Drosophila melanogaster: one gene and its partner. The protein of the gene in region 1 interacts with the protein of each later gene in a pairwise test. Each region holds a gene or a part of one and is shown on either strand. Other genes may lie near its edges.

Region 1 (3,434 bases):
TGGACAAACTTCTGTCTTGATGGACTGGCGGTGTTCCAGCTGGAGTTAACACTGCCGCCAAGTACCGCCGCGGGTACGGGCAGCTCATGTTGCACCAAATGGTGTCTAATAGTCTCGGAATGGATACAAACTTGACGGCGGCCGCAAAACTTTCGCCACGACTGCAGCACAAAGCCAAGGAAGTTTGGCAGAGTGTATGAGGGGCACGGCCAGGACCAAGACCAAGACCAAGAGGATGTGGCAACAGCCCAGCAACATTGGCACATTCATCATTTTTCGGGTGCTCGCACGAGCAGGAAGGACCAAGGATTTCAGCCGCCAGGCGACAGCAGCTGTTGCAGCAACATCGCGGCAACTTCTTGTCACATGTCACGTCGCTGCAGGGATGGCACACGACCAAAGGACCAAAGGACGATGGTACGAAAGGACGACGGGACGTCGCAAAGAATGCGAATCAGGCCGACACTGCCCTGCGCTTTGCAAATGTTTAACCAGAAGCTGTTGAAAGTTTGCCGGCACTTCTACAGGCTCTTTAACAATGATTTTTCTGTAATGGAGTACATATTAAGTACTACTTTAAAGCTTAAAAACCTGCATATTAAACTTAATCATGTCTATTATTACACATTTGTTAACGAAAAGGGCATTAGACTTGTTTAAAATTAGACTGTGCTTCTTTAAAACAGGCCGATTTAAAACTAACTATCTACGGCAGCTGTAGTCAGTTGATTGATATTAAAGAAAGTACATATATCATTATAAGAAGAAGTTCCTTAAAAACTAATTCATGCAAAACGTTATGACAGAAAGTTATGGGTCAAAAGTATTTTCATTTAGATGAATGTCAATAGAGAAAATAAGGGATGGGTCTAAATTTTAGGTTTAGAAAATACTTATACTTAAATATAACAATTTATAAATAAGGAAAAAATCAATTTAGAGTGATTTCGTTAGAATCATAATTTATTTGTGTGTGTATCGAATCGGTGGATCGGGCAGTTAGTCTTATATCTGTGAGGGGAACTTCTTAGGCCTTGTTGCCCTTGCCGGAACGCCTCTTCACGGAGGTGCGACGGCGAGCACCGCCACGACCACGTCGTCCACCGCGCCTGCGTCCACCTCGTCGTCCGCCACGGCGCACGGATTTGCGTGCACTACGACGACCTCCACGGCGACCACCGCGGCGTCCACCACGACGACGACCGGCACGAACGATGCGGCGGGCACGGGCGTCATCCTTGTTGGGCTTCACGATGGTGTCCTTGTTGTTGGTGGCGGTCTCCTTGTCCTCTTTGTTGTCGCTGCCCTCGGCAACATCATCGCTGCGTCCCTCCAGTCTGTCATTCTGCTCCTCCTGCTCCTGGCGCTCCAGGTCTTGCTCCTGGGCGGCCAGCTCGGAGTCTTCCTTGTTGTCCGACGTCTTCTCGACCAGCTCGGAGCCACGGCGAGAGCTGAGAACTCGGCTGCGCTGGGCCGCCGCCTCGGTGGAGAACACCAGACAGCAGAGAGCCGCCAGGGCAAAGATCAGTGTATATTTGGCTGACATATCGTTGGTTGCAGTCGAACTGTTGCTTGTGGAAGGCCGGAAGTGGTTGTGATGCTTTCGAGGTGTCACCTCCGGTTTTTTATACCTATGCCCATCCGATCCGCTGGAGCTCCAAAGCCATGGCACCTGTTTCAATGTTTGCCCACTGCAAGATGTTGCAACACACACAGCTGTATTTGCCCCCCACCAATCAACCCGGTTTCGATATCGATGCTGTGCGGCTATTAATTTGATCTTTTGTTTACCCTTTCGCCTTTCAACTGCAGCACATTTTCCGGTTCCCCTGCTTGCGCTTCATTTCCTTACAAATTGCTTGCCCTCCGGCTGGCTAACAGCTACTCCGCTCCGTTGGCAAATAATTGGTTTCTTGCTCCTCGTGCCACCGAACCCACTGGCCAGACTGGAAATATCATTTAAAAAAAGAATAAACGTAAATAATCGAATTGCACAAAAGCGTTTTAGCTGCGCTTTCGTTTGATTTAGTCGAGCAATGCTCGTGGCCCCTTTGGCTGGCTGGATAATTCAGCGGAGTTCCGTCCGTGCAGCTTCCTGAAACTGCACTGCAAAAAAAAAGAATGCCATGCCCCTTTATTTAAACTGAATATTAATTTTTGAAAAATGTATTAAAGAAAACGAAGATTTTTTTACATATAATATGTACTACGTATAAAGATAAATGAAGAACATTTTTTTTTTGAATACCTATATATTTATTTTGCAAAATACATTACATTTGTCACAGTGATCTCAGTATGGAGTACAATCTGCGACTATTAAAAAGTGCAGAGCAAACAGCTTGAAGCGGTTTAGTTGCGCGTTTAAATGAATTACAAATTTGCTCTGAGTTCGGAGCTGCTGGTGTGGGTGAAAAAGGATCGCAGGATGCCGGAAGCCAGCGATTCCCGTCCAGCTTTACGTATATATTTATCTTTAGATATACATCTTTTTGGGCAACTTGCCAGCAATCAAACATATTTATTGCGCTTAAACGCTTTGCCAATAATTTCTGCTTCGGCAGCTGTTGGCGGAACCGGAAGATGGGGCGCCTTGGAGCTGAAGCACGTGCCGCCGGAAATCACGTGGTCGACATTTGTTCAAATGATTTACAATTGTTGATTTTTATTTGGCCTAAGAAGCAGTTGTTAAAAAAACGCTCCAGAAACTTTAATCTGATTAAAGGCTGAACGACAGGCATGAGCATGAGCAATGCATCTACGGGGAGATCCTTGTGTCCGATTCGCAGGACACCTATTCAGGCGTGCTTGAAATCTAATTAAAAAGCGCTTAGTGGGTGAACAAAGGATTTTCAATTTCAGCCAACAAAAGAGGGCTCACATGTCCCTACGACTGGCATTGGATATCCCGAATCCTGCTCTTCCTCCTCCGATTAACTGCATTGTCTTCGTCCAGGGAGAAGCCATCTCTGGAAATTTCATGGTCATGGATGCAGTGAAGGGAATAGTCTAAGTGGACAAGGGCTTCAGTCGTAAAGCGTTCAGCTCTTATCATATATTTGTTTCATACATTTTTTTTAAAGCTCAACCATATTCTGAAAGTAAAAGCGGAAGCCGTTCATCATTTGCAAATAAGTGGAGAATGCTTAAACAGATATAAAGATAGATCCATTAAGTATGAAAGAAATAAAATAACCCAAATATATGTAATACTTCTTCCTTTGGAATTTATCCAAATCATAGGTATATGTTAGATCTACATAGGTTTTCGGTACATGGTTGCCTTTTTTTTTACCACACTAACAATTAAAATTTATCAAAGAAGAACATCAGAACATGGCTTTTTTCGATCGCAGATCCCCGTATGGCAGTCTCGAGTCTCCTCTAAGACGTGGATTCACTAGCTGGGGGCCACATCCTGACAGCGGAGCTGA
Region 2 (4,015 bases), on another chromosome or scaffold:
ATAGGATAGTCCTGCTTCGGTATTTATGTAGTTGTTTACAGCCTCCGGCTTGGAACATAAATCCATTCAAATTGTACGTGCAAATGGGAGGACATCATGTTATATTACACACACCCGCAGCAGGCACTTCGAATTTGAGTTTTGAGCAAGTACAATTCATGTTTTGATACATTTTTGATAGCTGAGCAACAAAATCATACCAAATTCCCCTCTGAACATGGACAGCCCAGTAAAACAGCGCCTAAAACCCAAGAAGCTGGACAAACATCCAGGAACTCAGAAGGTCGAGTTCAAAAAGGATATCATCGATGAGGTAGCGGATCAGTCGGTTGAATACGATTACATGAAGTATCCCAGCAATAAAGAGAAGGCAAAACTCCTGAAAGGCGTTAAACCATCGAAAAGTGTCACATTCAAGACGGTGGTGGAGCTGGTGACCTATTCGGAAAACTGGAAGATGAAGATGAGCGAGAGCAGGCTGCGCTCGGAGGATGAGCAGGTGTGGTTACGGATGCTAAAGTCCACTTTCCGATACTCGGGCACCACGTATTTCTGATGCATTTGGACAAGCCTATTAAAAATTTTAGTTTTACTAGAACAATTTAAATAAAATACTACTACTACTTTTTGATACGTTTTCCAATGCATCAGACTTATTCTTATTTTCAGTTTCTTATATTACAATCTAATCATTCTTTTAATCTTAAACTTTAGCTGAAGAGCTCCCAAAAATATCGCAACTACTGACAACTTTCCTTAAAATTATTGTTCGTTGTAAGCTAATAAATTGTTATGTGTTGATAAAAAAATATTTCGAGAAAAACTAAAAATAGTTGGTTTTTATTTTGGAAAAATAATGGTCACAGACAATTTAATGAGAGTTTTTTTTCCCCAATATCATATATTTTATGGCAGGATCTTTATTTACCCAATGCTCGGCATCGCAGCTGGTTGATGATGTTGCAAATGACATACTCGCCGGTATCCTGGCCACCGAACTCCTTGGTGCGAATGCCTTCGTCCATGGTGCGCTTCAGCTCGCACCACAGTGCATCGGCGCACTTATCGTGGCCCAGATGCTGGAAGAGATCCACAATGGTGGACACGATGCCGTATGCACTTAGATTGGCATAATTGGTCAGCGATAGTTTCGTCTGGAGCGGTTTGAAAACGGCATGGTGATCTCCGATCTCCACCGCACTGAAGAGATTAGCCCCGCCACAGACTCCACTGCAGATGGCGGATAGGAATGTGGCATAGCGTTCGCTGGCGAAGAGGCAATCGAAGTAGGTGGGCTCCGTCATCAGCCGGCTGATGGCCTCCTCCACCTCCATGAGCTCCAGCTCCAGGCAATCCTTGTAGTGGCAGTGCAAGCGCTGTGCGGCTTCCACCAGTGAGCCATCGCTAATGGGCCACTCCTTGGCCTTGTTGATCAGCGTCACCCGTTTCCGGCCCGCCTTTGCAGCCGCCTTAAAGGCGTACCGCAGATACTTGTCATTGCCTTTTTGGGAGACGACGGACAGGGCCTCCACCACTCCCTCCACGGGTGAATATTCCAGTTCGTTGAAGATACCCATGTTGTTCTGACCGATTAACTGGATGTCCACGCCCGGAAAGCGGCACTTGAAGCCGGGAAAGCTGCGTGTCCGGGTCTTGAAGACGTACAAGTCCAGATCATTGCAGATCTTGAGCGCCTTCTGCTTGGCTTCCGCGTCCGCCTGATTGTCCACATGAACGGCGGTTCTGTTCCGGAGCACCGAGTGGAAGTACTCGTCATCTTGGCCAGCTTCGATGACTTGGACCTCCACAGGGACGCGGCTGCTCGAAAGCAGGGATGACACGAATTGGGCTCCCTGCTGGCCAATGATGGTGGTGCCCGTGACCAGAGAGACCGTATTGATTCCACCGTACTTGGACTTGGGCAGCACATTGACCGGATCAGCTCGAGCGTCTCCTTTTGCGTAGGCCGCTCGCACACTGCCGTGGATCTCGTCTGCGAAGTGGCGGACGCTGATCCTGGCCAGCATCGACTGAGTCACTTTCGGGCATCTTAGCATTATTTTAAAGATGAATCCTAGGAATGTATCTGCTAAGTAAGCAAGTGACACAAATTGCCCCCACAACTGTATACACAAATATTTTGAGATCCTATTCCTAAGTCCGAGTTCCTAAATTAGTGTAAAAGAATGAAATTTTTATTGCTATTTTTCAGCTGAGTAACGGGTATCTGATAGTCGATGCACTTAACTATAGAATTCTCTCTTGTTTTTAAATAAAGCGCCGTTTTCGGGCAGATTGGTGTGACCAAGGCTTGCTACCCTAAAAATCGCTTAAGATTCCATTTCATACTTTTAGTTCGACATTAGATAATAGTGGCTATGTAAAATGATGTAGAAGAGTTTTTACATTTCTACATTTTTAGAATAAACATTTTTAAGACAAAAAAGAATCATTGTAAATGTATTTTTAAACTGCAATAGTCATTATGTTTTTGAAAAGCCCACCGGAAATGCACTTAGAAAATGAAGCACTTGTTTAGCGCGAACTAAAAGTAACGGAAAGGCCGGCTTCCGGTTGCCATGGATTTTTGTTAAGTTTTCTGTAATTTTGGTGAGTAAAAACTCGGTGAAATGGCCTCCTCCAGCGCTGTAGAAGATGAGCATCTAACGGATTCCGATTTAACCGACGATGAGGGTGAGTTTGTGTCACTATTTCCCCTAGAACTTCTTTTAATCCTGGAACCCAGAGCGCAGCGTGGAACCTCGTCAGGAGGAGATCCGTCCGGAGACCCCAAAGCCATCGTATAGCGACGAGGAACTGAACCAACTGGTGGGCTACATTCAGCGGATGAGTGTGTTGAGCTGCTTGGATCACAGGGACTGGCAGGAGGGAACTCTGGACATCATCCGCGGCTGGCTACTGGAGGTTCACGAGCCCCTGCTAACCATTTACTACGACAGGGATGCCCTAGCCGCCTGCTTGGGCATGCCCTCCATGTGTGTCTCGGATCTGAGTTACTTTCGCCGCGAACCGAATGAGATTTTTAGCGTGGAGGGATTTCACGATGAGATTAACTTCGGCACCTTGACAAGCGATGTGGATGGCTGCTTGATGGAGCTACTCGATCGCTTGTACGTCCCCTTCTTCCGGAACTATCTCGAATGGAATGCCACGGTGCGTAACCGTTTCTGTTCCAGCATGGACAGATTCCTGGCATTTCTCAGCGGAATGCACCATCAAATCTCTGGGATGTCCGTGATGTACGTCCCCTTTGTCATCAAGGAGTTGACGGCTGGGCCCGTTGATAGATACTTGGTCGGCAGCCTGGAGGGCATCGCTCTCTACTGGACCACACAGATTCGAACTTTGCTGGCAGACGATACTTTGACGGTTCCACATGATCTGGTCACCGTTCGGGATGAGTTTGAGTTCTGGGAATATCGCTGTAAGTTTGTAACTGTTGCGCCTGTAAAGTATATATAAATTGAAGATGGTGTTCTCCTATTTAGATGAAGTCCTTCAAGGAATCAATGATCAATTGGCTCATTCGGATGTTCAGAAGGTTTTGTTACTCTTGCACAATGCCCAATCCGTGCACATGCCACAAATGGATGGACTTATTGAGAGGGCCAGAAAGGAGCTTCATAAATCTCTGTCGAATATTAAGTACCTTCATCTGCTCATTGAGCCCTGCTCCAAAATCGATGCGGCCACAAGCCCGGCGGATTTGACGAAACTTTTACCTCGCATTATCCACCTCATACGTTTCATTTGGCTGAATTCGGAATACTACAATACAACTAGGCTAATTGCTGCATTGTTTCGGAATTTGAGTAATCAGATCATAAGGTGAGTATTACATGAATCACACAAGTGGATAATATATACAACATTATTGCTCCTTACAGATTCTGCACAAAGCAAACCAAAGTGGAGGAGATCCTCTCGGGCAAACCGCGTTTCGGCATTAGGATATGCAACGTGGCTATTGAGTGCTGCCTGACTTATAGGGGAA

What was found.
Region 2: the proteins of nur (region 1) and CG7755 interact in a two-hybrid assay, tested with the Drosophila melanogaster proteins (one large-scale study listed by BioGRID).

The regions. Positions count from the first base shown.
Region 1 is NT_033779.5:13,734,305-13,737,738, reverse strand, and holds nur (nemuri), read right to left. Parts: upstream 1,602-3,434; 5' UTR 1,547-1,601; coding exon 1,028-1,546; 3' UTR 709-1,027; downstream 1-708.
Region 2 is NT_033778.4:16,280,805-16,284,819, forward strand, and holds CG7755 (uncharacterized protein), read right to left. Parts: upstream 2,143-4,015; 5' UTR 2,058-2,142; coding exon 921-2,057; 3' UTR 826-920; downstream 1-825. Other genes in the region: CG15705 (uncharacterized protein), read left to right, coding at 218-499, 715-747; CG9068 (uncharacterized protein), read left to right, coding at 2,631-2,694, 2,747-3,445, 3,510-3,849, 3,909-4,015.